4 linked regions of the Lonchura striata genome follow. The protein of the gene in region 2 purifies or fractionates together with the protein of the main gene of each other region. This does not show direct contact. Links are inferred from orthologs where the notes say so. Each region holds a gene or a part of one and is shown on either strand. Other genes may lie near its edges.

What was found.
Region 1: the proteins of NCBP1 (region 2) and NCL fractionate together in Homo sapiens (co-fractionation; 3 studies listed by BioGRID and IntAct, with this or other methods). This does not show direct contact. The link is inferred for Lonchura striata from reciprocal best matches to the Homo sapiens genes NCBP1 and NCL.
Region 3: the proteins of NCBP1 (region 2) and KPNA2 purify together in Homo sapiens (co-immunoprecipitation; 5 studies listed by BioGRID and IntAct, with this or other methods). This does not show direct contact. The link is inferred for Lonchura striata from reciprocal best matches to the Homo sapiens genes NCBP1 and KPNA2.
Region 4: the proteins of NCBP1 (region 2) and HNRNPA1 purify together in Homo sapiens (affinity purification with western blotting; 4 studies listed by BioGRID and IntAct, with this or other methods). This does not show direct contact. The link is inferred for Lonchura striata from reciprocal best matches to the Homo sapiens genes NCBP1 and HNRNPA1.

The regions. Positions count from the first base shown.
Region 1 is NC_134612.1:18,077,046-18,084,472, forward strand, and holds the start of NCL (nucleolin), read right to left. Parts: upstream 3,013-7,427; 5' UTR 2,897-3,012; coding exon 2,879-2,896; intron 2,318-2,878; coding exon 2,210-2,317; intron 1,633-2,209; coding exon 1,356-1,632; intron 1,034-1,355; coding exon 884-1,033; intron 535-883; coding exon 352-534; intron 146-351; coding exon 59-145; intron 1-58. UniProt on the Homo sapiens protein: Nucleolin is the major nucleolar protein of growing eukaryotic cells. It is found associated with intranucleolar chromatin and pre-ribosomal particles. It induces chromatin decondensation by binding to histone H1.
Region 2 is NC_134642.1:47,796,971-47,804,380, forward strand, and holds the start of NCBP1 (nuclear cap-binding protein subunit 1), read left to right. Parts: upstream 1-4,405; 5' UTR 4,406-4,531; coding exon 4,532-4,565; intron 4,566-4,695; coding exon 4,696-4,781; intron 4,782-5,461; coding exon 5,462-5,562; intron 5,563-6,651; coding exon 6,652-6,808; intron 6,809-7,410. Other genes in the region: TSTD2 (thiosulfate sulfurtransferase/rhodanese-like domain-containing protein 2), read right to left, coding at 1,067-1,192, 2,853-2,961, 3,825-4,117, 4,191-4,274. UniProt on the Homo sapiens protein: Component of the cap-binding complex (CBC), which binds cotranscriptionally to the 5'-cap of pre-mRNAs and is involved in various processes such as pre-mRNA splicing, translation regulation, nonsense-mediated mRNA decay, RNA-mediated gene silencing (RNAi) by microRNAs (miRNAs) and mRNA export.
Region 3 is NC_134621.1:8,515,734-8,522,712, forward strand, and holds the start of KPNA2 (importin subunit alpha-1), read right to left. Parts: upstream 3,005-6,979; 5' UTR 2,957-3,004; intron 2,282-2,956; 5' UTR 2,240-2,281; coding exon 2,165-2,239; intron 2,068-2,164; coding exon 1,930-2,067; intron 1,074-1,929; coding exon 985-1,073; intron 188-984; coding exon 1-187. Other genes in the region: C19H17orf58 (UPF0450 protein C17orf58 homolog), read left to right, coding at 3,130-3,454, 4,280-4,503, 6,715-6,832.
Region 4 is NC_134629.1:8,440,464-8,448,069, forward strand, and holds the start of HNRNPA1 (heterogeneous nuclear ribonucleoprotein A1), read left to right. Parts: upstream 1-4,599; 5' UTR 4,600-4,684; coding exon 4,685-4,699; intron 4,700-6,512; coding exon 6,513-6,629; intron 6,630-7,606. Other genes in the region: CBX5 (chromobox protein homolog 5), read right to left, coding at 488-686, 1,139-1,275. UniProt on the Homo sapiens protein: Involved in the packaging of pre-mRNA into hnRNP particles, transport of poly(A) mRNA from the nucleus to the cytoplasm and modulation of splice site selection.

The sequences.
Region 1 (7,427 bases), on a different chromosome or scaffold from region 2:
ACAGAATTCAATCACAATCCATTAAACAAGCATCATATGAGGATCCCACACCACTTACCATCTGTTTTCTTTTTCTTGGGCTCTGGTGCACTTTTATTGGCCATTTCTTTCTTCCTCTTTCCAGGTGCTTCCTTGACAACAGGTTCTGTGCCAGAAAACAGAACAACACTGTAAAATACAGAACTTTTCCTGAATTGCATCAATACAGGAACATTAATCCTTACACTATTCATACACAAGATCTTCTCCTGTTACTCAGAAGCTGCTCCTCAGTACAAAAGGCCACTGTAGCACATTTCTGCTTAGGCACCATATCTGTTATTAAAGAGTCTCAAAGCCACTTAAACTTACTTTCATCTTCACTTTCCTCTTCGGCATCCTCTTCATCCTCCTCCTCTTCATCATCATCCTCATCATCATCCTCATCTTCCTCATCTTCAGATTCTGCTGCCTTGGCTTTCACTGGTGCAGCCTTGGCTGGAGTGGCTTTTTTCACTGGAACAGGGGCTGTGTCCATGGCTTCATCTTCAGACTCTGAAACAAGATGAGCACGGTATTCAGACAGTTCCACATTAAGCATATTTTGAAACTAAGAAAACAAAATACTGTTAAGCAAGATGTTTCTCATGCCTCCTGAAATTTGTATGTTTCCAGGAAAATTGTCTCTCTGCCTTGTGTTTTACTGCATTAAAAAAAACCCCAAAACCTGTTCACCAACAGTAAGAAGTTTTACTGACAAAAGGGAAATTAACATCCTTTCAGCAACATGGACAACAGCAACCAGCTAAAACCAGCCGAGCACACACTGCATCAATCCCATTATCCTTTAAGTAACCTCCCTCCCCCAGGTCCCTGAAAGTGTTTAATAATAAACATCTTATACCATCTTCTTCATCATCTTCTTCATCATCCTCTTCATCCTCATCCTCCTCAGAATCCTGCTTTGCTGGCACAGCTGCAGGCTTTTTGGCTGGTACTGCTGCAGGCTTTTTGGCTGCAGGCTTCACAGGCATTGGTGGCTCCTCTTCCTCATCTGCACCAACAGTACAAGTCTTTACTACTAAGGTTCAGTGGTATAGGTAAAAAGTGCTTAGAGCTTCCCAAAATTTTGCGCAAAAGTTCAGGAAAGGGCAATCAAGAAACTAGGAGATGTTTTACACGCCGTGTGTAAGGCAGCTGCAGCCCAAGCTCTCCTCCAAACTTCACCCATTGCCCACCTCTCCTTCATAACCCCTCATTAATCAATGAACTCCCCCAAGTATTAATCACACAAATGCTTCCAATTCCAAAGGGACTCATATTTAATGACTTGATTGAACCAGCTTTAGTCAATGCCTATTTCAAAAGTAACTTACCCGAATCTTCTTCATCCTCCTCATCATCATCTTCGTCATCTTCATCATCTTCTTCACTCTCCTGCTTCTTGGCATTCTTTCCATTTTTTGCTCCTTTGGTTAGGACAGCAGCCTTTTTAGGAGTTGGAGTAACAGCCTTTTTCGGCTGTGGAGTAGCCACAACCTTCTTTGCAGGTGTAACTGCCTTTTTTGCAGGAGTAGCAACTTTTTTTGCAGGAGTTGCAGCCTTCTTGGCTGGGGTAACAGCAACTTTTTGTGGTTTCTTCTGGGGGATCATCTGAAAGACACATTAGTGTAAGATTCATGCTGGCCTGTTTAACCTACCATTACTTCACTATCAAACATACAGCAACTGAAATCTACAGAGTAACCTGACAGGTTCTGTAAATTTACCTTAAATGCCCACTCAGATGAATAAAGGTCAAAAACAGCTTTTTCATGCTTTCAGAAGCCTACTTATGGAACATCAAAGCACCTCTAAACTCCCTGGTCCTGAACAAAGACCAATTGTGTCTATTAGCATTCTATACCTTGGAATTTTTACACTTGCACATAAACCACACGTGGACAAATGTTACACTGCTGATTACTAGAATAATTAGGTACCCACATGCTTATCAGCTTTAGTATGGCTTTAAAACATCAGAAGCACTTCCAAAAGCTTGGAAACACAGTAGCTGAGCTATTTTTCCCCATAATGCTTTATTCTTACAAAATCCACTTTATTCTTTAGCCACAATTTATAGAGAAACACCGACTATTGATTAAACGCCTGTTACAGTGTAACCCACAACCCTCACGACACTTCTGTGTAACACGTGCGTCCTTTTGCCTCCCCTTTCTAGATCAATCACCTCTTCTCCGCTGCTTTCGTCTAGATCAGAGGACTCCTCTTCTTCACTTTCCTCGAACTTTTTCGGGGGAGGAGCCATTTTTTTCTGTTTCATCTGATTCTTCGGGGTCTGCAAGAGAGCGGGAGCAGCACGTTCAGGTGCCGTGCTCACCCGGGTCGCTTGCGGGCGCCGCTCGCTCCGGCGGGGCGATTGTCCCCACCACGTGGCCGCCCCGCGGTGGCGGGGCCGCGCCCGCCGGTGCGCGGGGCCTTCCCGGGAGCTCCGCGCGCCCCCACGTGCTCGCTGTCCGCGCGCCCCACGTGGCCGCACTGTGACGTAGCCCCGCCCCCCCCACCCCGCGCGCGCCCGCACGCGGGGCCCACCCGCGTCCCGCACACACGCGCGCGGATCCCCCGCCCCGCCGCCCGCTCCCCTCCCGCCGCCGCCGCACGGAGCAGAGCGGGACAATTGGGGCTTGAATCCACTGCCTCCGGGCCCGCGGCCCCTCCCCTCGCCGCCATCTTCACGGCTCGGGAGAACAGGCCAGGTGCCGCCGCGCGGCCCGAGCGGACGGCGGCGAGAAGGCGGCCCGGCTTCCTCCCCGATACGCCGCCATCCGCACCCTCCCGCCCCATCATGGCGGCGTTGGACCGCTTCCCGCCCGGCGGCTGCGCTCCGCCACTCCCTCACCTTGGTGATCTTCACCATGATGGCGGCGGTGCCTGGCGGCGCAGGGGCGGCGGCCGAGTTGTGTCGGGAGCGGAGCGGGCGCGTCCGGCGGGGCGGCGGCGCGGCGGGGATCGGGCCGCGGGCGAGTAGCGGGAGCGGCGGGGACGCGCGGGCGGCCGGGCCGGGCACTGACACGAAAGAGCGAGCGCGCGCCCCTTCCGCCCCCTTTGCTAGCCCCGCGCCACGCCCCGCCCCCACCGCCCCCGCTCCGACCAATCGCCGCGCGCGCCCCGCCGCCCGGCCAATCGCGGCCCCCGCCCCTCGAGCCGCCGCGCCAATCGCCGGCGTTCTGCGATCGGCCAACCGCAGGGCGCGTTACAGCCGCGGGGCCGAGCGCGGGGGGGACGCACCGCCCGCCCGGGAGGCCGCGGGACGGCGGCGGCGCGGCGCATGCGCGGGGCCGGGCGGCCTGGCCGGGCCCAGGGGCCGCACGTGGCGGCCGCGGCGCCGTGCCGGGCCCGGGCGGGGCTCCGGGGCTCCGGGGCTCCGGGAGACGCCGCCGTGCCCGGCGCTCACGGCGGCCCCGACCGCCCCGGCGGCAGCTCGGCGTGCCGCTCTGCCCGAACACGCTTTTGCCTCCCGCTTTGGGGCTGTCTCTGCCCCAGCGCTATCTCTGCCACCCACTTCTGCCTGGCTCCGCATCCCCTCCCCGACCCTCGGGAAGCACAAAGCACCCGTGGGCAGCTGAAGGAGCTTCCGTAGGAGCCGGTCAGTGTGCTGCTGCTGCTGCTGTCGAGGTTGTGGTTGCACTCTGCAGCTGCCAGCCTTCACTCCTTCAGCTGGGAGAAAAGGCCCAAAATGAAAGAAAAAAATAAGCCTGTGCTTGCCTGATGGATGCTTTTGAATGCAGTCACTGCAAGAAGACACCACCTTTCTCCCTGTGGAATTTTTCCCCGGTGGCTGTAAATTGAGGGTAGAAATGACCCCAGGGCAGACCCGGTACCCCTGTTTCACTTGTCACTCTGCTGGCCGGGCTGGGTGCTGCCTTGCCACTACCTGACACAGAGTGGCCTCCATTGCTGGGCTTTCCCTACTGCCTTACCTCCCCTACCCTTCAAACTGGGCATCCAGCCAGCTCCTGGGGGCTCCTGACTCAAGCATGGGTGACTGTAGCAGCTTGCTCATCCATGGCCTACTTGAGATAAGCACCTGACTTGGGGAACATGAGATCCTAGTGAGCCCCGGAATAAAAATGCAGACTCTCAATGAGTGCCATCCTGCATGGCCCTGGTGCCTTTGAGGGGGCACCCCAAGATTGTTCAGTGCCACACTGTGGCTGAGGCAATATACCCAGCTCTTAGGCTGTCCTATGCCTCTTTCTCTGCTGGTTAAGAAGAGGCAGTTTCCAGGCAAGCTGAGCTAAGGGCAGCTGCTCACTGAGAGGTGATGGGATCAATCAGCCTCTCCAGGAGTAATCCAAGCCTGTGCAGGGCCTGCCACCATCAGCCAGTATGGGGAGGGAAGGAGCTGGAACAAAGTGGGATACTGCCTGTGTCCCAGTCCTGGTCACACACATGCAGGCAGATGGGGATCCCAGCTGGCAAAACCCTTGTGTAGGGCAGCTGGACCCTGCCTGTGAAATAGCAATGTCTGGCTCATGTCCCACTGTGTGCTGCAGGAGCTGTCCCCAAGTGGGGTCACTGCATGGGGAAAGCAGTGACACAAGACTAAGTGTGGCCCAAGGGGATGCAAAGTGATGGAATGGAAGACAGAGAGACCTGAAAGTGATTTTTAACTGTCTGAAGCAAGAGCTGATTGCACTCTCCTCACCACGCATGTGGTTCAACAAGATCATGTACCATGACTGCCTGAACAGCTCTGCTGCCTGTGCTGGGGCTGGCCTTGCTGGTTTGTCATGATAAAGGTACAACTGTTGCTTTAGCCAGGGGCAGTTTTGGCAGCTGGGACACTGCATTTGGCCAATACCAGTGCCAGCAGTGGGATCTGCAAAGGGCTGGGCTGGCAGCTGGCTAGTCTTGGTTCCCAACCCTGGCAGGGGAGTTCTCAGTATGGCCTGTGTTCAGTCCCATTCCCCAGCAGTGTGTTGGAAGGTTGTCCTTGCCTCTGGTATCTGTGAGGCTGCAGTAGAGCCCAGTGTTTGGGGAAGGAGCACAGCACCCCGTGCAGAGGAGTGAGAACCAGCACTGGCCATGAGGCTGTGCTAATCCATGCTCTGTGTCAGTCCATGCACTGTGCTAATCCATGTTCTGTGCCAATCCATGCTCCATATCAATCCATGCTCTGTGCTAATCCATGCTCTGTGTCAGTCCATGCACTGTGCTAATTCGTGTTCTGTGCCAATCCATGCTCCATATCAATCCATGCTCTGTGCTAATCCATGTTCTGTGTCAGTCCATGCACTGTTATCCATGCACCATTGAGCAGGTCTGGATATGGCCCAACCCTGCCAGCTGCTCTTATGGCCAAAAAGGGCCCAGGACATTGCAGATGCCAGTGTTTAGGCTGGGTTCTTCCCTGTATCCCATGTGTGGCCAGGATTTTTCAGCCCTAGCACTGGGCAGGATGATGCCGGAGTGGAGCAAGGCCAGCCTTGGGACGCACCATATTGCAGGGCTGTCCCTGCTGTGGCTCAGCACAGCCCAGCTCCTCTGCAGGCAGCTCCAGGAATTTCAAATGCCGAGGGAAGTCTCACAGAGAAGCATCAGTGAGAAGGGTAATTTGGCCAAAAGAGCAGGTTTGACAGCTCTATTTGTGCAGTAAATACACTTTAGGTCATTTTATGGCTGTCTCTTGTTGTAGCATGTGTGTGGCTGGGGAGCGCTGCTATAATTCCACAGTTAAAGGGAATTTAGCTGGTTCAGTGGAGACCCCAGGAGGGGTTTGCCGTGGATTCTCAGTTTCTGGCATAGCAGACGCTCACCCTGTGCTTTTCCCTACCCGGCTGCGGCTGCCCAGGGCCTGGAGGGGGGAACTGCGCTGCGAGGCAAACGCGGCCACCCAAAAGCCAGGCAAACTGGGTGGCCAGCTCGAGGGGAATCCCAGCTGAGGTGAGTGAGGGAGCGCTCCCAAACGCCCCGTTCAGGCTGTGGCCGCCGCGGGTTTCCACTAGATGGTGGCAGAAGGCTGCGTGTCCCGGCTCCCCCAAACCCTGCTGGGCGCACCTGAGCGGCGCATCCCGCCCTGCCTCCTTCGTGCCTCCCAGGACGCATTTGGTACTCGCCGGGTAGCAGCAGCACCAAGTGCATTCGGGAGAGGAAAAGTTTTACCTGTGGGTGGTGCAGGCGTCTGCTGCCAAAAAAAAATTGTCAGGGATCTCCAGCAAACATCCAGTGGGTGCTCAGAGAAGGGGAAACGAGCTAGAAGAGCAATGAAATGTGTCCCTGAGCACCTCAACCTGACATCACCTGCTGTGTGGTCTGAGCAGTGATCTGATGTGTACAGCATGGCAAAGGTGGCAGAAAAAAAAAATCAAACAAATAAAACCCCACCAAAAACCACTATTAAAGCAAATTTACTAATCCTAGGTCTAGGTGCTGCTCAAAACCTCTTGAACAACCCCATGCTGCAAATCCTTTTCTCCTCTTGGTGCCCACCTCACCCCGTCATGTGCTCCTATGCCAGCAGGTACCACAGCTGATGGATGGTGACCCAGCAGCACCAGGCACTCAGGGGTTGTCCTCTCTCTTCCCAACTGCACAGTTCCCCAGGCCCTGATTAATGCAGGACAGAAAATTAGATGGGACTGTGTGGTAGTCTAATTAAGTTTTTTCTTCATTATCCCCCTGTCTGTGCCAAGAGGAGAGTCCTCAAGGATGATGAGCATGAAGTGGGTGCAGAGCTTGCTGTGACAAATGGCACTTAATTCAAGTAGTCACAGACAAGTGCACGTCCTCTGCCTTGAAATGGGCAGCTTGAGACACACTAGCCTGCAGGGATGAAAGTCAGCAGTGTCTGGCAGAGTATGGGATTTCTTCTCTGAGAAGTATCCTTTCTTGAGGAGGGATGCTGCAGGAATTGGCAAGGGACCCTGGAGACAGGCATACCCATTGTCACTCTGGCAGATGCTGTAGCATTTCCTGGGGTTCATGGACAAGGAAACCTACAGGTGACTCCCACAGAGAGTTTTGTACATGCAAATTTAGTCTCCACATGCCCTCCAAGTATTCCTTGTAGGGATAATTTCTGGTACACTGCAGAAAAGAAGGGGATTTTTATTTCCAGAAGGAGCCAATTCCCCTAAGATTTCCCTTGTGGCAGGCCAATTCCATTCCCCAACACGCCTTGCCTGGAGCTGGCAGCAGGATCTTGTGGTGTGCCTGTGAGCCCCCAGCAAGCCCACACAGCCACCCAGAGCCTCCCAGCCAGGTGGACTCTCCTCTGGATCTGCTCAGCAAGAGAACAAGTGCAGCCCTGGAAAAAAGGATGCGTGAGAAAAAAGTGGGACCAGAAGAGGACTTGCAGTAGGTGTGAGATAAAGAAGAAAAACCAGGATTGGGAGATGTGGAGCAATTTGGGTGGTGAGAGGAGACCTTGGGAGCACCCTTCTCTC
Region 2 (7,410 bases):
CACCAATAACTCCTCTATCCCATGTCTTCATGGCACAGTAACCTGAAAGCCTCACTCACTTGGGCATACAACAGTCAGGAGGAACTGTGAGACAGCAAACACTATATTTGACTAATGCATGAACACTGACGCCCAGAGAGATCATGCAAGGTTGAAGGTTTTGCCAAGGTAAAATTCCATCCCTCTTTTTTTTTCTTTTGTATCTACATATGACTGTAACTAACACAACTCCTCTTGAAATTCAGCCAAGCATAACAGACACTTATAAAGCTAGGACTGAATCATCACTGCAGCTCAGCATGGAATTTGATTTTCGCAGGTTTCACTAACTCCTTTGATCTAGTTGCTTATGAAAAAATAGTAGGACTCCCTGCAAATAAAACTGTGTGGAAAAGAGCTACAGCTTAAGCAGAAGCTTTCCTTCCTTGCAGAGAAGCCAGAACTTAAGAGTGGCTGGCAGCCAAAGCCTACCAGATGCCATATAGCACACCAGCCACTGCTGCCTTCATCATGAGACGACACCAATCAGTATGTATACTCCAGCCAAACACTAAGTGAAGTAGCAAGAAACCTCTTGACAGTCCCTGTGTGTTTTCTCTGGAAGATACCCAATCCATGGAACTGACAGTGCACCTATATGGGCACCAAAACCTGCATAAACCTAAACCAGTAGTACTGCTTCCCGTCAAAGCAGGGTGAAGAGGACAGTGTGCAAACACTTTGCTGGGCTAAGTGTATGTCATGATGCCTGCTCAGTCTGCAGTAAATGCTTGTTGCAGAATGATGGGGCTTAGGCACACTCCCTCACTCACCTGTATTCAGGGGCTTTGAAGCTGCACCCATAGCTGCCAAAGCTTGTAGCAGTGACTATCACTGTCCATGGAAACTCCCAATTCTTGTAAAAACCAGCAAAGATTTTCAGTACGGTTAAGATCCACCAACTTAGGTAAGTGGTGGGGGAGCAGAACTGCTACAGCAGAAGTAATACTGTCAAAAAGGAAACTACTTATTTCTTGAAAATTAAATTACTTGCATTAATAATATCTACGTAAATTTTTTGTCATACCTTGAAATCCTCTTGACACAAAGTGTTTTTGAACAGAGGCTGGGAAAGCATAACTTTAATGTAAAGACTGGTAGCTACTTTGCTTCCACCAACTGTCCCATTAATCCCCTCTGAAGCAACTCGTACCTAGAAGGCAAGAGGAGAAGCTGGGGCTGAGCCTTAATTACAGCAAAAGAGATCATAGTGAAATTGGCAAATTATGAATATGGCAAAATATTTGCCTGTGACACAGGGCAGGCACAGGAGTATGTTCAGAAAAGAGACTACTGATTAAGGAAGGAAAATATGGTTAGTCTGAAGTTGAACATAAAGACAATAACCAGGAAAAAAAACCCTCAACAATCCAGTAACCATTTCTCAGCCATTTTAAAAGAATCACACCAGGACAGTCAGAGAAGTCCACTCAATAAACAGAGAAATGCTGTATAAACACAGAAATTGCTGTCTGCAAATCCTGCAGTCGGCATTAGAATTCCCACTGGAAGTTACCTCAGAAAGAACAATAGGTTTGTGCTGCATGACTCACACAGCTAAAAAAGAAAATGTGAATATGCATAACATTGTATCAAATATTAATTTTTGGGATGAGTCATTTTATCCCCAGCACTGACAAATGAACAAAAGCTCTGAAGTGGGGGTTGGGGGGAAGGGCGAAAGACTGAATATAAGAAGCAAGGAGAAAAACAGCTGATTGGGCTCTACCTGTCTTGGAGATGAGATGGAAAAAAAAAAAGAAAAGAAACTTGAGCAAAACACCAACTACCAGAGAAGACAGCTGAGCAGAAAAAGGAGTGAATGTATGACAACACTTCACCCCCAGGCCTGTGTTGATGTATCACTGGCAGAGAGCAAGAAGCTAATTAGGAAGACAAGTCTCAGATAAAAGGATTTTCCTGCTCCACGTTGCTCTCCTTCTCCTCACAGATAGCCTAGGAACATCAACTTTCTGAGACTAAAATTCACCTTTGCACACAGCATCCAGAGGTCAGGTACACAAGCAACTGATGTCATTAGTCTAACCTGCCAGGAATGAAAATAACAGACTGTGCAGAAAAGAAAAATGCTACATTATGGTGTAGTCTAAGGTGTTGGCTGTTCTCACCTTCCCAACAGTATGGCTTACAGCTTGCTGTAGCCACTCTGCATGGAAGCCCACTGTGCACTGAGGAAGGAGGATACAGGTGCCCAGTGAGTGGAGCAGGCCCAGACCCACGCTATCCCTCCAGCTTGGCCCTCAGGCTGCGTTGTGCTGCATGTGTCCTTCAGCCACAGCATACACCCAGCCTGCTAATGCTAACTGAGATGCCTGAAAGCAGCTCTCTGCTGACACCAATGATTAAGTCACTTTCATCTCCCTGCCTTTATAGAAAAATGCATCACGACTTTCTCATGTGAATATCCTTTCTGGTTGACAGCAGGAGTGATAAAAAGACTGTTTCCATGTGTAAAACTGATGGAAACAGGGTAATCCTTGCAAGGCCAGGGTCTGCACAGTGTGCTGCCTGTAAGGCTCACTCAGTGCCACACAACCCAGGGCTCCCTACATCAAAAGGGATTTAAGGGGATTTAAGATTATCTGTATTTTTTTTTCTTTGTTGTGATAGCTCTTAAACAGAATTCTAAAAGATACCTTACCAAGTCTGAGTGTCTGTCTTAATGGGATCATAACAGACTAACACTTTCTGATGCAAAACACATGTGGTTCTCCATATAACCCATCATCCTGCACTACGTAAAGATATGGGGCTTTTTCCTTTAAGAATAGAACCATTGCTGCAAACCTTACCTTGCCAGTGAGATGTAGATGCTGACACAAAGCCTTCTGCCAAGCACAGAGTTTCTCTGGATCCCTCACCTCACAGTAACAGTAATAGAGAAGTACGTCTCCCACCTGGCTGCCCACAGCATGGTAAAGGTAAGCAAAAAGAAAAATAATGTTAAGAAAGAACAAAATTGTACTATTAGCAGTAACCATTCAAAAAGCAGACAATTTTCTTTTGGCAGATCTGTAGAGAAAAAAATCCCCTGAAACAAACTTTGTAGGGATTAGACCTACTGGGTTTGGTTTATTACAAACAGAATGAATGTTAACCAAAAAAAAAGCTCCCAGACTTCTAATCCTCGGGACTAGTTACAAAGTGAACTTTGTACTCTCACTTCCAGGGCCTACCATATGCTCTCCCCACACACAGAACACAAGAATTGCTGGCTTTTATCCATACATGCAAGCCATTTGGCTCACTTTACCAAAATGGCACTTGAAAACTCAAGCACTTGAGCTGTCTAAATTTAAAAAGCCTAAGTTTTTTGTGAGATTGCACATTCCCACATTCTGTGCAGCACAAGCTGAACTCTGTCACAGTCAGAAGCGTTTCTATGAACCTTCTTCATAACTAACTTCAGGAACTTGAACGAACAGCAGAAAGGAACCCGTGCAAAGCATATCCTGCTGTTCTGCCCTTCTCTGTTGTGGTCCTTCCTTACAGATCCAAGCTGTCAAGCAACACCCATACAGACCTGCTTTAACAGTACAGAAGAATAGTTCAATCCACCGTTAAAAACTGCAAGGGATCTAGCTCTTTATATAAAGGATACACAAAGAATGTGAAGATCTAGAAGAATATTGGGGAATACTCTCTTCCTATACCTTAGAAGCGTGGCTTAAGAAGTACTTCTCATAAGAAGTACACTGGCAGATGATCATGTAAAGCCGAATATCCCAGTGCTGGAGCTTCAGGGAGGCGAGGAGCTTCCTTACCTGGTCAGATCGTCGTGGCTGACGTGGCTGGTGTCCGGGAGCGCCCAGGAGATCTCCGGGCCGCCGCAGGAGCGCCCGCTCGGCCGGGCCGCGCCGCCCGCGGCGTCGGCGGGCGGCGCGCCCAGCCCCGCCTGCCGCCCCACGTCCCCGGAGTGGTGCAGCGCCACGTGCCTGTGGATGCCGGGCAGCTCCTCGAACGCCTGCCGGCAGCACCGCCACCGCACGCCCTCTCCTCCGCCGGGACACCGCGACGCGGCCGGCACCTCCTTGGCTTTGACGAACAGGGAAAAGGCCTGGAACGCACCGCAAGCGTCCTCGTTACCGAGGTTACAGCGCGGCCCAGGCCCGGCCCCGGCCCCGACCCACCTTCCTGCGGGCGGCCGCGCACTGCTTCCTGCCCGCCGCCGCCCCCTCGGCGCTGCCCCGCGGCGCCGCCTCGCCCAGCACCATCTCCCCCTCTCCGCCGGGAAGCGCCCGCTCTCCGCCTCCTCCCGCCGGCTCCGTCCCCGACCCGGAACGGCTCGGGTTCCTCAGGGAAGTGGGCGGGCCGGGCCGCGCGCGCCCCGGAAGCGGCGCGGCCGCGGGCGGGGAGGCAGCGCGCTTGCTCGGCCCGCGCGGCGCCTCGGCCCAGCGCTTCCCGCAGCTCCGCGGCGCTCCGCACTGCTCGGCGCTGCTCCTCCCGCTGCTCCCCCCCGCTGCTCCGGACCATGTCGCGGCGGCGGCACAGCGACGACAGCGATGGTGAGCCCCGCGCCCCCCTCGCGGTGTCCCGGCGGGAGGGTGGGTCGGGCGGGATGGAGGAGCGGCGGGGTTGAGAGCGGCAGGGTTTCTGCGGCGGCGGTAACGCTCTGCTTGGTGTGTTGTGGAGCAGGACAGCCCCACAAGAGGCGGAGGACGTCCGAGCCGTCGGAAATTGAGGAGAGGCTCGAGTCGCTCATCTGCAGGGTGGGAGAGAAGGTAGGTGGGCCGGCGGCTCGGGGAACTCAAGCCTCGTTTCCCTTCTCCCTGTCCCTTGCATGGTGTGGGTGCGCTTCGTCTGTAGTAGCGACCCTCAAAAAATGCTTATTTTGTGAGGTGGGTGGAAAGTTGCCGGTTTTTTTTGCTAAGCCACGTGCTGCGGCGGGTAAGTGCTTAAATCGTAGCGTGGTGCTTCCCAGTCGGGGATACACGGCCCGAGTTACTGTTGTACCTAGAGATGGTGCTGGTGATTCTGGCGTGCGAAGGGTGCGAAAGAATTAATTGCTCTTCCTGCGGCACAAGTTTCCAGTCCCGACGGTGGGGCTGATGGAGGAGGGGGTGGCAGAACAATAGGTGATGATGCGCAGAGAAACTAGGTGTTTTTCAGCTTCGTGTTGTGTTGTTAATCAATGCTCGGCTGGTCGGGATGCTCCTGAGGTGATGTTCGATCTTGCATCCCGGGGGAAAGCTGAAGTTCCTAGCGAGGGAGTTTGGCGGTCAGGTGCAACTCTTGTTAGGCAAGCGAGAACAGATCTTCGCTTTTGATGGAACCCGAGTATTGCCCCGAAAAATGAGGCGACACGAAAGGATGCTCATGTCTTACATGTGGGAGTTGGACTAGTTCGTTTTGCCTGGTTGATGAAACTTTCTTCTGTTTGTTTGTTTTGTTTTCATTTTAGAGTAATTCATCTTTGGAGAGCAACCTGGAGGGCCTAGCTGGTGTTTTGGAAGCTGATCTGCCAAATTACAAAAGCAAGATACTAAGAATACTGTGTACTGTGTACGTATTGAGAAGGTCTGGGAATATGGGGTGTGCTTTCGGTGTGCCTAAGTTTGGTTTTAAGGTAGTTTAAAAGCCATGAATAGCTTTAGTTTGTGATTGGTGTCATAGCTTAGGGTTTGCCTTACTACAAACGAAAGACATAGAGGAACAAGTTCGCTATGTATTTGGTGTAATTCAAGAAAAATACCTTTTTACTTTGCTTTGACTTGAAATGTGTATAAAGGCTTGAAGCAGGTAGATGAAACATTAGAACTGGTCTGCAGTAGCTGTGGGAACGCAGCAATACCGGGTAAAATCCTTTTTCACGTGAAACGCTTAAGCGCTTAAGACCACCAGAGTGGCTGCTAACATCTATCTGTGTTATCTTGATGTTTTCTCACAGCTTTCTCTTCCCTGGCAGTCACGTGCTCAAGTCTTTGTAAGCACATTTGCTAGAGGGGAAGGACTGGGAACGGGAGGAGCAGAAACCAGGCTCTGGTGGCTGCCAGCTCTCTTTCCTCTCCCTGCAAAATGCAGGAGCAGAGATGCTATGACAGGGTCACTGAATGGTGTTGAGGGAGGGATTGTGCAGGGTCTGTTGCAAGAGGTAAGACAATTCCGAAGGAAGGGTGTGGTGCAGACTATGTAGCCTGTTCTAATATTTTGCAGATACTTAAAGTTTCTTTTTTAGCAATATTTTTAATAACAGGTAAGTAGTGTGCTTCCTTCCCTGGCAGCAGAAAGACACTGCTTACTTACCTGCTTAAAATGGTAGAGGTAAATTACTTTTTTACAGTAGGACCTAGTATTCCTTATGCTGTGTAATGACTTTACTATTGACTATGGACTTAAACAACTTCTTGCATTCTTGCAATAAATTCTGTCACTAATATTATTTGTCCAACCCTGTGGGATACTCAGCAATTAGATATAAATGAAAAGCAAATATTTTGTACTAGAAAGTGATAGTAGCTGTCTTTTCTGATTTTCTGATTTCCTCATGAGCCAAGTTTTAACTTACAATACGCGGATTCTAAGATGCCATGCAGTGGCCAACTGGCACATGATGAATAAACAACTAACACATTATTTCTTTTTCTGTGTCAGTGCACGTCTGCTACCAGAAAAGCTTACTGTTTACACGACATTGGTGGGCTTGCTGAATGCCAGGAACTACAATTTTGGTGGGGAATTTGTAGAAGCCATGATTCGTCAGCTTAAAGAATGTCTGAAAGTAAACATGTATAATGAAGCTGTGCATTTAGTAAGTGGAGTTTTATTTGTCTATTTTTTTCATATCCTTATTCTTTCCTCTTTTCACCTTTTTGTTACAGAGAGCTGGACCTTGCAATGTGTGTTTTAATGTCTTTTGCCATCAATGTGCAGTGCACTTTAAATATTCCAAGAGGAAATATGTGTTAGCAGTATTTTCTTTTTCAAGGACGAGGACTTGTATTACATTTACAAAATGTAGTTCCAATGGTATCTTTTTCACAGTGAAAAATTAAATGTGTGTTAAACAGAGGTGCTTTTCACTGCTTGTTCTTCAGTCAAATGTAAAAGATAAAAAAAAAAAGTGCTTCCTGTCTTTGAAACCATTTGCTTCATCCTTACTGCTTATAGATTTTGTCTGCTGTAAGCTATTAGAACTTCAGCAGTGTCTGATTTAGAAGCCCACTGCCAAGTTCCTCACCTTCTGAATCCCACTGGTGAAAATTAAGATTCTAGTCAAGAGACTGAACTTCAGTCAACCGTGATATTATCTTTGCTAATAAGATCTATTGCTAGAACTTGCTGTTATTTTTGTTATCTGATACTGTACAGAATAGAGAGAAGTACCGTGGTTTTCTTCTGTAGTATCAGTCT
Region 3 (6,979 bases), on a different chromosome or scaffold from region 2:
TGCCCCTCCATCCACCACTGCCCTGGTTTGCTCTGACGTGCCAGAGGCGATGTTGGTGAGGGCCCAGGCAGATTCAAACTGGATGGGACTGCAGTCTGCTCTGCCCAGGAACGAGACAAACTTTGGAATCAAACCAGCCCGAATTATGTTGTCTATTGGGGGTTGCTTCTCTCTTGAGAGGAGTTTCCTATGGAGGAAGGCAAACAGGAAGCATTAATTTTGCCTGCAGACATCTGAACAACAAATTAAAGTTTTAAAAGCACCATATGAAAAGAGTTTAGCATTGTCTTAACATTCATAGAAGGCAACACAACAGCATGAAAGAGAAATGCATACAAGATGAACACTAGCTCCCTAGCCAGGCCTCTGTTAATGCTAATTTGGCATGTCTTCACTATATGAGAGGTTCTGTTCAGACTCTGAAGCAAAGCAGACCTGCAGGAGTCATTACACATCTGAGCTGCTAGAGGCTTCTCAGCAGAGAGAGGTTAGTGACTGCCAGAAGAAGCACTTGAGCAATATGCAAGCTTATTAAAGGATATTTTAGATTTGAAAAGAGAAACAAACTTGGAAAACTTCAAAACCCACTCATCCTACTGTTCACATTATTCTAAAGTGAATTGCCACACTCATACATACCAAAGTGTTAACACAGTTTAAAAGGTACCTTACTTTGCTATAATAAAGTGTTAACTATAATTACTTCTTCAAATCAAAGGTGACTACTGTTAAATTTGCCACCACTAAAGCAAATTACTTCTTCCTACTAAAATATTCAGGCACTTTAAATATTCAAAAGCCACATGATTTCAATAAAACCATGCCTAAGTTATGGGTATCTCAACATGGTATATAAGATGGTGTTTGTTGAAATACTGCCTGATAAGAAAGCCATAAGCAGCCATTTAGGCTCATAAGTCAATCCTCTCACCTTGCCTAGTTATTGGCTTGCACAGCTGAGTTGGTTTCCTCTGAACTGCTTACCTGGCAGCTTGAGTAGCCTGTAGCTGAAGCTCCATATTATTACTATTAACTCCTTTGACTATTTCTTCAACTGACCAATGTGCCAAAACCTGTACAAGAAAATGTTACATGAGTGCTTCACTGGGACAGTCATGTGTATTCCTGACCAGAGAGCTCTTACACAGTACCATGAACAGGCCCCAATTTACAGCCACTTCCACAATGAGGTATTTCAAAACCTCATCAGCTACAGCTTCACCTACAGTTATCTGAACTGCTGAAAGCTTTTTTTAACCAAGTGATTCATACCAGTTATGCTAGGTTTAAAATGTAGCTGCAGCCAGTGATGCCTTGAGAAGTCTGACTTAGAACAGAGGCTAAACAGAGTTAAAGAATAAAGCAGGTATTGATTGAAGGCCTTAATGGATACAACTTGGGCAGTACAAGAGCCTGGCCAGGGCTACACGAAAGATGAACCAAAATGGTCACAAAACGGACTATGGTCATGAGGTTTGACACTTTTATATGTTTTAGTCCATTTGCATATTGGAATTAATTGTCCAGTTATAACTTTAGGTTACAAAGCTCCATCCTGTTTATTTTTCTTTCTTCAATTCACTGTTGTTTATACTTTTTGGGCCTGGAGGTTGTAACACTTGTCCTTGGACAAGCTGGAAAGGGATTGTTTTGTCTACCTACTCTGTGAAGAGAACTTGCTAACACTTAATATGAAGCTCAGTTACACACTAAAGCAGCATAGAATCTGAAAAATATGAAAGCTAAAACTTAAGGCATCCCCAGTTGTGTGTAAGAGTGCTGTCCATTAGAGGTGATAACACAGGCCTGAGTTACTAATGCAGATGCAGTAGTGCTGTCCTGCACTCGAGAATAGATCCATGTTGGCCTGGCTGCAGCATCTCAGACAGTAAGACCCTCCAAGTGTGTCTATTCCAAGTATCCACTTACCTGGTTGCCTCTGTTTTCCTGAAGGGGAGAAGTAGCATCATCTGGTAAAGTGCTCACATTTCTTCTTTTAAGCATCTGGTCATCTTTTTTAGCTTTCCTCAGCTCCACATTGACTTCAATGCGCCGCCTTCTCATCTCCTGGAGGATACACACTCAGAATAAGTTCTGGGCTTTCAAAACTTAGATTTAAAGAGAAAATGGCTGGCTAAAGTACTAATTGCACCAGAGTACTCACTGTGCTGTCCTTTCCTTTGTTCTTGAATCTGTTTAATCGAGCTGAGGGTGTATTGGCATTCTCATTAGTAGACATCTTGCTTGTTAGATTTTTTGAGCAGGACAGATAAAAACAAGCCTGAAAACAGAGCAAAGGAAAATTTACTCCACAAAAGTTAAATTTTAAAAAATTGGACCCATACTCAAGAATGATAGGCACTTGTTAGCATTAATACTATAAAAACATCTGACTTGTTCAACAGCTGTCTCATTAAACAGCCATATGTTATAACGAACTCTAGCATCAACACAAAAGCAGAAGACACAGTCACACGATTTTGAGACACTTTAAACCAAATACTGCTAGTTATTATTTTCAGAAGCAGCATAGATTTTCATTTCTACAGACAACATACACACGCTGTTAAATACTATTTTCACTATCACGCACCTGTGCTGCACAGGAACCCACCTAGCCCCACCCCGACCTTTTTGGGAATGGGAAGAAGGCCGGGGGGCGTTTGCCGTGCGGGCGCAGCCGGCCGCACATAACAACGGCTACACGAGTAACGAAGAAAACCCTTACGGCTCAGCCACTGCCAGCATAAGAACCGTCTTGGCTTCCCTTCGGCCATAGCCCCACCGGAGAGACAACCCGCGCTGGGATACACCAGCCCTATCAGCCCCAGTGCAGACAGCGAGACGCGGGAGGCTCCGGAGAGAGGCCCCGGCAGAATTGTAGGCATAGCACGGCTCTTTCCAAAAGGGCAGCGCAGGGCCCGCATCCCCGCCGCCCCAGACCCGGTCCCCACACCTCGGCCGGAGACGCCGCCAGTCGCTCCGCTGCTGCCGCACGCTGCCACTGCCCACGGCCGCCCCACGCGGCATTTAAATTTCCCGCGGCCGCGCCCTGCCATTGGCCAGTTCGAGCCAAAGCAGCCTTCTGATTGGCCGGTTTGAAAGCAGCCCGGCTCGCCATGACGGGGAATGCCCTCCCGGAAGAGCCGGTCGGACGTGACGTCTTCACAAAGCCCGGTACTACAGCCCCCGGCGTGCCCCGCGCAGGCAGTGCCAGCAAGCCCCTGTGGGGCGGCGCGGGGCACGCCGGGAGCTGTAGTGCACGGGGCCGGGCTCGGTGATAGCCCGGGACGGGAGCGGGGATCGGAGCGAGGGGTTAATTGTGTCGTGCAGGGGCCGCGCTCTGAGCGGGTGGGGCAGAAATTCCCTCACGCAGAGCCTGAGTCTGCCTCAGAAACCAGCGCGGCAACGCGGGCTTCCCCGGGACAAGGGCGGGTAGTGACAGGACGAGGAGGTGGATGGTTTCAAACGCAACGAGAGTGGGTTTAGATGGGATATTGGGAAAAAATCCTTCCCTGTAAGGGTGGTGAAGCCCTTCTCAGGTTCCCAGAGAAGCTATGGCTGCCCCATCCCTGGAAGTGTCCAAGGCCAGGTTGAATGGGGCTCCAAGCAACTTGGGGTAATGGAGGGTGTCCCTTCCAACCCAAACCATTCAGTGATTCCATGGCTCCATGTGTCACTTATTGTCTCCAAGAAATGTGGTGCACAGAAATGCAAAGAAAAGGGGATATGAGATTGCAGCTGAAAGCAGTTCTACAGCCATCAGGGCAGATGGAAACCTAATCACACAGAATAACAAAAGCAAAGGATTCCTGCCCCTGTGGTATGGCCTGAAAAGGGATGAGATTGATTCCAATGGGTTTGGCCTGCTCATGAGGGATGGAACACAAAAGAACACTGATTTTCACAGGAGATCTTCAAACCAAAGAACTGTAGGGAAAACACAACTCTGACACTTTGAGACACCTGTAAGGTACAACACAGAGAAGTTTCAGGCATGTACATCGATATGCCTGTGTGCTAAGCCATCACATTAAACCACTTATACCAATCTCTAGGCACACATTAGGTATGGAGGATGTTTGCTGAGGAGGAATTACCAGTGACATCTCATATAGCTGGTTTTAGGCCTTACGGTGCTGAGCTTTGTAAAAAACACCTACAAAAACAAGAGCAGGTAAGCCAAGAGAAGGCACGTTGCTAACAAATGGAGATATTAAACAAAGAAAAAAGGCAGTTCAAAAGCAGAAATAGAGGTAAAACACCTGCTTTCCTGAAGGATTGGAAGGTTGGCGTGAAGAAATTCCATCGCTGGCAGTGTATGATCTGGAGCAGTTAAATCTGGGCACAGCGATCGGTGTTGAGGGCACGGAGAGGGCTGGCAGTGCCCGAGATGCCCGAGGGGGTGTGGGCTGCGAGGGGGCGACAGAGACGTCGGGGGAGACTGGGCAACTGGGGCACAACAGCGGCCAAGCTGCGGGTGAGGTTGTGGGGCTGCAGAAGGTGTGTGCAAGGCGGGCAAAAGGGCCGTGAGGGGTCACAGAGCCCTGAGGGGGAGGTGTTCCCTGAGAAGGCCGAGTGTGGAGCCGCTGGGACTGGGTAGAGTTACCGGCAGCAGCACAGGAGCCAGGACCGGGCCCGCGAGGGGAAGCTGAAAGACACGGGCCCGCGGGCAGCGGTGGGCGGGGGTCCCGGGCCAGCGGGGCGGCCCCGGGCGGGTCCCCTCAGGCGGGGACGCGCTCGCGCCGAGGGCGGGAACCCGTTCTGAGGCGCGGGCGGGGCCGCGGGCACGCGCCGCGGGGCGGGGCCTGAGGGCGCCGCGACCAATGGCGTGCGGGGGGTGGGGCCGGCCCGCCGCGAGCGGGGAACACGTGACACCCGCAGGGGGCGGGGCCGGGGCCGGCCGGGCGGGGCTCTTACCGGGCGGCGCGCGCGGTGTGTGCTGGGTGACCCAGTGGCCTAATGGATAAGGCATCAGCCTCCGGAGCTGGGGATTGTGGGTTCGAGTCCCATCTGGGTCGTGCCGCGCTCGTTTTGTGCCGCTGCCGCGGGTCGCTCCGTGCGCCCACCCCCGCCCGGGACCCCCGACTCTTTTACCGCGGCTGCCCCGGGCCCGCTCTGCCGCGCTCCGCGACCCGCGGGGGCAGCTGCGCTTCCTGCGGGCATCCCTGGGTCCCGCTCCCTCCAGAGAGCAGCAGCCGCGGGGCACCGGGCAGGGATGTGGCTTTGGTCCCGGTTTTGCCCAGCGCTGCTGGGAAAGCTTTTCCATCTCCGCTGCTCGAGCACCCCGGGGCTGCTGGAATGCCGGGAGTGCTCCAAACACCACTGCTGTGCTCTTAATGGAGATCCTGTCCAAGTAAAGTCTGGGGAAAGAGTGCAGACACAGCCGTAATGAATGAGGGTTGAATTGCACCACCAGCTAATTCAACAGAAAAATCCTTGGAATACAGGTCTGTGGCATGCTCACGTGTGTGTATATCCATCCATCCATCCATCCATCCATCCATCCATCCATCCATCCATCCATCCATCCTCCTCCCTCCCCAGTGCCAGCACTCACACTCCAGCTTCTGCTTGCTGCAGGTACCTGCTGCTCACCAAAGCAATGGAGGAGCCCTCCTCTCCTTCATCCTCAATTTACATTCCTATTCCCGTAATAGCTATCTTGGGATAGTTCTGGAATTAAAATGTTTCAAATAACAGAGGGAAACAGGGAGTAAGTGAGTGTTGCAGTAGAAACGTAACTCGTTGAGTAATAGATGTGGTGAAATGTCTTTTATTTTCCACACTATTCTGGTGAATTTTCTGTATCTTTGCCCATGGCTGCTGGAGACAAAGCCCTGAGCTTCTGGAAATCCTATTGAAATATTTAATTAAGGCAGGACAAAACAAACTGCTTGAACTAAGCAACACTGAATCCCATGCCACAGGCATGGCTGAGGGTTAGATTTTCTGTCAAGGGTGGGTTTCAGGAGCCTTTCAGTGCCTTTATGTAGTTTTAAATTGTTGGTTGTCCCTTAAAATCATGAACAGCTTCCACAGCACCCAGCAGCAGCCGGTGAGTTAAACTGTCACAATAGGAATCTTGTGTTGCAATAAGGTCACTTAGAAATAAGCCTTCTTAATTCAGTAATCCAAATCAGGGTTGGCTTGGTGTGTGAAAATTTGCAGAGTTCTTCACGATGGCAAAGAGAGATTTAAAAATAAAGCTGTGTGGGATCAGCAGAGCTTTCCCTTGGACTAGACAGTCACAACTGCATTTTTCAGCCTGAAAAGAATCACTGAAACTGGTTCCTGAAACTAAAAGAGGAGATTAGCAGTTGTATCACTGGAGGTGACCAGAAATCCCCAGATATGTTCCATTGTCATGCATATCCTTTACAGCCCCCGTGTCCCCGGGTCTGGTGTATTCCAGCAGCTCCCGGTTCCCCCCCAGAACACAGCTCTCCACAGGCAGCAAAACCAGCCTTGTTCCCGATGATTTTTCCCTACAGAATGCCACAGGAGGGCAAGACTCCCCAAAATAAAAATCTGCTGCCAGAACCACGTGTGGGTGTGTATTCCCAGGACTCAGGTGGTGCAGCCAGGGGCTTGTTCCCGATGGGAAGGAGCACATTCCTCCCAGGCAGGGCTGGTGGAGGCAGCAGCTTGGTCTTGCTCCAGTGGGTTGTCCAGCGAGTGATTCCCGTTTCCCCTCAGGCTGCCTCTCATTAGCATGGATCGGGGGAAGGGCATAAAAGACTCCAGCTCATTTTGAGTCTGGAAAAACTTTTCTTCAAAATGACAACCCAAGTGTTCTGGCTCCTCTGCTTTGTCATTAGATCATCTTCTGGTAAGTCTGTTACCTTCGGAGCGGGGCTGGGGCAGCTCTGCCTCGGGAAGCAGGGGAGGCTAAGGACTTTCCTACAAACCCTTGCTTGGGCAGCCCCCCAGCCTGCAGCCTTTTCAGCAGGTAAGGGCTCAAGAAAGAAACATTTCA
Region 4 (7,606 bases), on a different chromosome or scaffold from region 2:
GTCCCTGTCCCCTCCTGGTGTCCCTGTCCCCATCCTGGTGTCTCCATCCCCATCCTGGTGTCTCCATCCCCATCCTGGTGTCCCTGTCCCCTCCTGGTGTCCCTGTCCCCTCCTGGTGTCCCTGTCCCCTCCCGGTGTCCCTGTCCCCTCCTGGTGTCCCTGTCCCCATCCTGGTGTCTCCATCCCCATCCTGGTGTCCCTGTCCCCCTCCCGGTGTCCCTGTCCCCTCCTGGTGTCCCTGTCCCCATCCTGGTGTCCCCATCCCCATCCTGGTGTCCCTGTCCCCTCCCGGTGTCCCTGTCCCCATCCCCTCCTGGTGTCCCCGTCCCCATCCCGGTGTCCCCATCCCCTCTTGGTGTCCCCATCTCCTCCCGATGTCTTTGTCCCCATCCTTGTATCCCCTCCCAGTGTCGCTGTCCCCATCCCCATGTCCCCATCCCCTCCTGTCCCCAGCTGTCCCCGGTGTCCCCGGTGTCCCGTGTCTCACCTCTCTCTTCTTCTTGGCCCTGCCGTCCTCGCTGCCGGGCAGCCCCTTGCGCTTGGCGCCCTCGGGGCGCTCCCGGGGCCGCGTCCCCTCGCTGTCCCTCATGTCCCTCATGTCCCTCATCCTGCGGTCCTTGCGCAGGAACTGCGAGATCAGCTCGGGGCAGTCCAGGTTCTTCTCGGGCTCCCACGTGTTGTGCTCCCTGGGGACACCCAGGGGACAGGGGACATGGTCAGGGGACATGGCAGGGGACACCCAGGGACACCGTCAGGGGACACAGCAGGGGACAGGGGACAGGGTCAGGGGACACCCAGGGACACAGTCTGGGGACAGGGGACACGGCAGGGGACACCCAAGGATACCCAGGGACACCGTCAGGGCACGGGGGACATGGCAGGGGACAGGGGACACTGTCAGGGGACATGGCAGGGGACAGGGGACATGGTCAGGGGACACCCAGGGACACGGTCAGGGGACAGGGGACACCCAGGGGATACCCAGCGACACCCAGGGTACAGGGGACACCAAGGGGACATGGTCAGGGGACAGGGGATACCCGGGGACACCCAGGGACACAGAGGGGACACGGTCAGGGGACACCCAGGGTGTTGTGTCCCCTGTCCCTGCTGTGTCCCTGCTGTCCCCGTCACTCACTCGGAGAAGCCCTTCCACTTGAGCAGGTACTCGGCCTGGCCCCTCACCACGCGCCGGTCCAGCACCTTCTCCACCACATACTCCTCCTCCTCCCCCGAGGACGAGCTGTCGGCGGCCCGGCGGCTCCTCCTGCCCATAGCGCAGCCACCGCTCTGGGGACAGGGACAGGGACAGTGACAGGAGTGTCACCGTGGCTCAGGGAATGTCACCGTGGGACGTGGCACTGCCCTGCTCCTCCTGCCCATGGCGCAGCCACCGCTCTGGGGACAGGGACAGTGACAGGAGTGTCACCATGGCTCAGGGAATGTCACCATGGGACGTGGCACTGCCCTGCTCCTCCTGCCCATGGCACAGCCACCGCTCTGGGGACAGGGACAGGGACAGTGACAGGAGTGTCACCATGGCTCAGGGAATGTCACCATGGGACGTGGCACTGCCCTGCTCCTCCTGCCCATGGCACAGCCACCGCTCTGGGGACAGGGACAGGGGACAGTGTCACCATGAGTGTCACCATGGCTCAGGGAATGTCACCATGGGACGTGGCACTGCTCCGGCAGCTCCTCCTGCCCATAGCGCAGCCACCGCTCTGGGGACAGGGACAGGGACAGTGACAGGAGTGTCACCATGGGTCAGGGAATGTCACCGTGGGACGTGGCACTGCCCTGCTCCTCCTGCCCATAGCGCAGCCACCGCTCTGGGGACAGGGACAGTGTCACCATGAGTGTCACCATGGGTCAGGGAATGTCACCATGGGACGTGGCACTGCTCCGGCAGCTCCTCCTGCCCATGGCGCAGCCACCGCTCTGGGGACAGGGACAGGGACAGTGACAGGAGTGTCACCGTGGCTCAGGGAATGTCACCGTGGGACGTGACACTGCCCTGCTCCTCCTGCCCATAGCGCAGCCACCGCTCTGGGGACAGGGACAGTGTCACCATGAGTGTCACCATGGGACGTGGCACTGCTCCGGCGGCTCCTCCTGCCCATGGCGCAGCCACCGCTCTGGGGACAGGGACAGTGTCACCATGGGTCAGGGAATGTCACCATGGGACGTGGCACTGCCCTGCTCCTCCTGCCCATGGCGCAGCCACCGCTCTGGGGACAGGGACAGGGACAGGAGTGTCACCATGGGTCAGAGAGTGTCACCATGGGTCAGGGAATGTCACCGTGGGACGTGGCACTGCCCTGCTCCTCCTGCCCATAGCGCAGCCACCGCTCTGGGGACAGGGACAGGGATGTCACCAGGGCACAGGGATTGTCACCATGGGTCAGGGAATGTCACACAGGGCCCCTCCTGCCACTGCTCTGGGGGCACGGATAGGAATGTCACCAGATTTGGGGACACCTGGGGATCCCCAGGAGGGATTTCGGGACATCCTGGGGATCCCCAAAAGGGATTTGGGGTAATTTTGGGATCCCTAAGAGGGATCTGGGATCATTTTGGATCCCACAAAAGGGATTTGGGATCATTTTGGGAGCCCCAAGAGGGATCTGAGGTCATTTCGGGATCCCCAAGAGGGATTTGGGATAATTTTGGGTCCCACAAAAGGGATTTGGGGTAATCCCCAAGAGGGATTTAAATTATTTTGGGATCCCCAAGAGTGATTTGGGGTTCCTTTGGGACCCCAAAAGAAATTTGGGGTAATTTTGGGATCCCCAAGAGGGATTTGGGATAATTTAGGGACGCCCAAAAGGGATCTGGGGTAATTTTGGGATCCCCAAAAGGGATCTGGGGTAATTTTGGGATCCCCAAGAGGGATCTGGGGTCACCTCAGGATCCTCAAAGTGAGACCCCAAGGGGGAGGCACAGGAGGGGCTGATTCCTAAAAACCCAGCGGGGATTTAGGCACAAAGAAACGTGATTTGGGCTAAAATCTCCTAAAAAAAAAAACAACGCAAAACCCAGAGAATTCAGGCAGAGCGAAACGGAATTTGGAATAAATCCCCAAAAACTGAAGGGGGATTTGGGAGCAGAGAAATGGAATTTGGGCTAAACCCCTTAAAAATCAAGATTAAAAAAAAGAAAAAAAAAAAAAAAGACGCTTTAAAAGCCCTCAAATCTGTTTTTTCTCCCCCCTTAGGGCAGGATTTGAGCGGATTTCTCCCTTTACACACAGCCCGAGGGGAATCCCTCGCTCCCGGCCGGAATTTCCTGCCGGGCTCCCGGCGGGGTTCCGGGCGGGCTCCTGAGGGAGAAGGCGCCGCTTTGGGTGGGAAAAGGCCAATTTTGGGAAAATCCGCGCCCGGGAATGCTGCGGGAACAAAGGGAGGGCGGCACGCGGAGGCCCGGGAGCGCCTGGCCGGGGCCGAGGCCGCGGCTGTGAGGGGAAAGCCGCCGCTGCGGGGCGGGGCGCGACGCCCCGAGGGCCCAGGCCGCGGTTTTGGGGTGAAAAGCCGCAGATTTGGGCTCGGAGCGCCCCGAGCTGAGGGGCCCGGCCGCCGGGCCTGGGGGCGGGGCCAGCAGCGCGCCGCCGCACGCCATTGGTCAGAGCCGCCGCGCGCCGCGCCCTGATTGGCAGCGCGCCCCACCGCGCGCCGCGGCCCCGCCGCGCGACTATTGGGCGGCGGAACCGTCACTCCGAGCGCCGCCCCGCCTGCCCTGCGCCGCTATAGGTCAGCGCGCCTGTCACTCGGCTCGCCGCCCCGCCTCCCGCTCGCTGCTATTCAACACCGCGCCCGCCACTCCCCGCGAGGCCCCGCCTCCCGCCCGCACCCATTGGCCGCCGCGCCTGCCCGTCACGGCGGCGGGCCCGCCCCCGCGCTGCCGCCCGTCCATCCGCCGCCCGCCGCCGGCGCTACCTGCGCGGAGAGCGGCTCCGGCGCGGGCCCGTCCGCCGCGGTCTGGCCGCCCCTCCGAGCCGCCGCCGCTCCGCGCTCCGCCCGCCAAAACCGCCCGCAGCGCGCAGGCGCCGCCGGCGGCGCTCCGCGCATGCGTCCGCCCGCCTTTTCCCCCCCCTCTCCCCAAAGCCCACCGCGATGGGCGCATGCGCTGCCGCGGCCGCACCTTGGGGCCGGCGGGCGGGCGGCCTCTGCTCGCCGCCGCCGCCGGGAGTCGCCGCCGCCTCCCCGCTCTGCGCCCGCCGCGCCGCGCTCGCCGAGCTGCGCTGGGCCCGCCGCCGCCGGCGCTGATGGACGGCCGCGCCCGCCAATGGGCACCGTCCCCCCGCTCTCCCAGCCAATGAGCGCCTGGCGAGGGGCGGGCCCTGTTTCTTTCCAACCAACCAGCGGCGCGCCGGGGAGTCTCCGGGCCGGAGCGGGAAAAGCCACGCGGGGCGTGTCGGCAGCGCTTCTCCCCAATCCCCGCGGCGCAGGGGCGGGACGTTTCGGCGCGCAGCCAATCAGCGGCGGCGCGGGGGGCGGAGCGCGGCGAGGCGGCCAATGGGGCGGCGGCGTTGTGAGGCGGCAGCCAATGGGCGGCGGCGCGGGGGCCGCGCGGGCGGCGGGGGCGGCGGGGTGAGGCGGCGGCGCTCGCGGCGCTCGGCCCCTTTCCGTGTCGGCCCTCGCAGAGGGAGCATCGCGCGCCGCCGCCACCGCCCCGCGCCGCCGCCATGGCCAAGGCCGAGGTCAGCAGCGGCGCCCGCCCCGCTCCCCGCCGATCCGCGCGCCCCGTTGTTTGTTTTTTTTTTTTTTTTTTTTGTTGTTTTTTTTTTTAACCCATCCCCGTTCCCTCCCCCCCGCCCCCGCCGCCGCCGCCGCCGCCTGGCGGGCCGCGGGACCTCACTGCGCCTGCGCGCGGCGCCCCCCCCTCATCCCCTCAGCCGCGCAGGCGCCATTGTGTGTGGGGGGGGTCACACACAGAGCCCCCCCTCCCCTCCCCCTTCCCCTCCCCCTTCCCCTCCCCTCCCCCCTCAGGTTCCATTTTTGGGGGGGGTCCCACAGAGCCCCTCCCCCCCCCCCCCCAAGGTCCATTTTCGGGGGGGGGTCCCACAGATTTCGCCCCCCTCAGGCGCATGCGCGACCCCCCCTCACCCCGCGCGCGCTCCCGCGGCCACGTGCGCGCGCTTTGTGTCACGGGGGGGGGGGGTCTCAGGAATAACGGGGGGGGGAAAGAAGGGGATGGGGGGGTGTTGGAATTTGGGCTTGAAATTAAAGCTGGGGGGGTGGGGGAGTTGGAGTTTAGGGTTGGGGGGGGCAAAATTAGGGGAGGGGGGTCAGGAATAGGGGCTGGGGGCGCTGAGGGGGCTGAGGGTGCTGGTAGGCCCCAAAATTTGGGGTTGGGGGTGTTGGAATTTGGGGTGTGGGGCCTTTGTGGGGTTTAATATTAAAACTGGGGGGGTGGGGGGTCGGAATAGGGCTGGGGGCCCTGAAGGGGCTGGGGGCGGTGAGGGGGCTGGTAGGCCCCAAAAATGGGGGTTGAGGGAGAGATTTGGGGGCCTGGAGTTGGGATTTTGGGGTTGGGGGTGTTGGAATTGGGGATGTGGGGGCTTGGGGGGGTTTAAAATGAAAGCTGGGGGGTTTGGGGGGGTGGGGGGTCAGAAATAGGGGCTGGCGGCGGTGAGGGTGATGGTAGGCCCAAAAAATGGAGGTTGGGGGAGAGATTTGGGGGCCTGGGACATTGAGAAATTTGGGTTGGGGGGGTTTGGGGGTCTGGTGGCCCCCCCAGATGGGAACTGGGGATGCTCAAGGTTCAGGTGGCCCCAAAAATTGGGGATGGGGGAGGTCAGGGAGGGTCCCCAGGGGGCTGGGGGGGGATTTGTTGGGGGTGGGTTTGGGGTGTCAGGAGCTGCTTGGGAGGGGAGGGTCCCAGTTGGGTTTTTTTGGGGTCCCAGGGGCGATTTGGGGGTGTCAGGATCTCTCTGGAGCTTTGGGGGGACATTTTGGGGTGTGAGGGGGAGTTCAGGAGGGATTTTGGGATGGGACGGGGGTCCCAAGAGGGATTTTGGGGTGTGAGGAGCACTGGAGGGGTCCCATTAGGGATTTTGGGTTGTCAGTCCCCCCGGGAGCTGGGTGAGGGGGTTTTGAGGGGGTTTTGGGGTTCCCCAGCCTCCCCAGAGCTGGGTGAGGAGGTTTTGGGGGTCCTCATCCCCCAACAGGAACTGTGTGAGGGGGTTTCGGGGTGTCAGGCCCCTGTGAGCTGAGTGTGGGGGTTTTGGGGGTGTTTTAGGGGGGATTTTTGGGGTGTTTTAAGGGGTGTTTTAAGGAGTGTTTTAGGGAAGGTTTAGGGGGTGTTTTAGGGGGGATTTTTGGGGTGTTGTAAGGGGTGTTTTGGGGGTGTTTTAGGGGGAGTTTTAGGGGGGATTTGGGAGTGTTTTAAGGGGTGTTTTAGGGGAGGTTTAGGGGGTGTTTTAGGGGGGATTTTGGGGGTGTTTAGGGGGTATTTGGGCTTCCCACCCCCTCCGTGGGGTTCCGGGGTGCCCTGAGCCCGTCCCCCCGCAGTCCCCGAAGGAGCCGGAGCAGCTCCGGAAGCTTTTCATCGGGGGCCTGAGCTTCGAGACCACGGACGAGAGCCTGCGCAGCCACTTCGAGCAGTGGGGCACGCTCACCGACTGCGTGGTGAGGGGCAGGGGGCCTGAAATGGGGCTGGGGGCCCTGGAAACGGCACTGACTGCAGGAAAAACGGGGCTGGGGGCCCTGAAATGGGGCTGCGGGCCCTGGAAACGGCACTGACAGCAGGAAAAACGGGGCTGGGGGCCGTCTGAAATGGGGCTGGGGGCCTGAAATGGGGCTGGGGGCCCTGGAAACGGCACTGAGAGCAGGAAAATGGGGCTGGGGGCCCTGGAAACGGCACTGAGAGCAGGAAAATGGGGCTGGGGGCCCTGGAAATGGCACTGAGAGCAGGAAAAACAGGGCTGGGGGCCGTCTGAAATGGGGCTGGGGGCCTGAAATGGGGCTGGGGGCCCTGGAAACAGCACTGAGAGCTGGAAAATGGGGCTGGGGGCCCTGGAAACGGCACTGAGAGCAAAAAAATGGGGCTGGGGGCCTCTGAAATGGTGCTGGGGGCCCTGGAAACAGCACTGAGAACAGGAAAATGGGGCTGGGGGCCTCTGAAATGGGGCTGGGGGCCCTGAAATGGGGCTGGGGGCCCTGGAAACGGCACTGAGAGCAGGAAAAACAGGGCTGGGGTCCCCAAAAATGGAGCTGAGGTCCCTGAAATGGGACTGAGATCTCCTGGAGTAGAGCTGGGGTCACTAAAAGGGCACTGTGATCCCTAAAACCAGCCCTGGGATCCCTGAAAATGGCCCTGAGACCCTTAAAAACGTCATGGGATCCCTAAAAATGGAGCTGGGATGACAAAAATGGCCCTGGGATCCTCAAATCCCTCCCTGGGGTCCCTGAAATCAGCCCTGGGACCCCAAAACCAGCCCTGGAGCACCAAAACCAACCCTGGGGCACCAAAACTGACCTGGGACCTTTAAAATCAGCCCTGGGACCCCAAAACCAGCCCTGGGGCACCAAAACTGATCTGGGACCTTTAAAATCAGCCCTGGGACCCCAAAACCAGCCCTGGGGCACCAAAACCGACCTGGGAC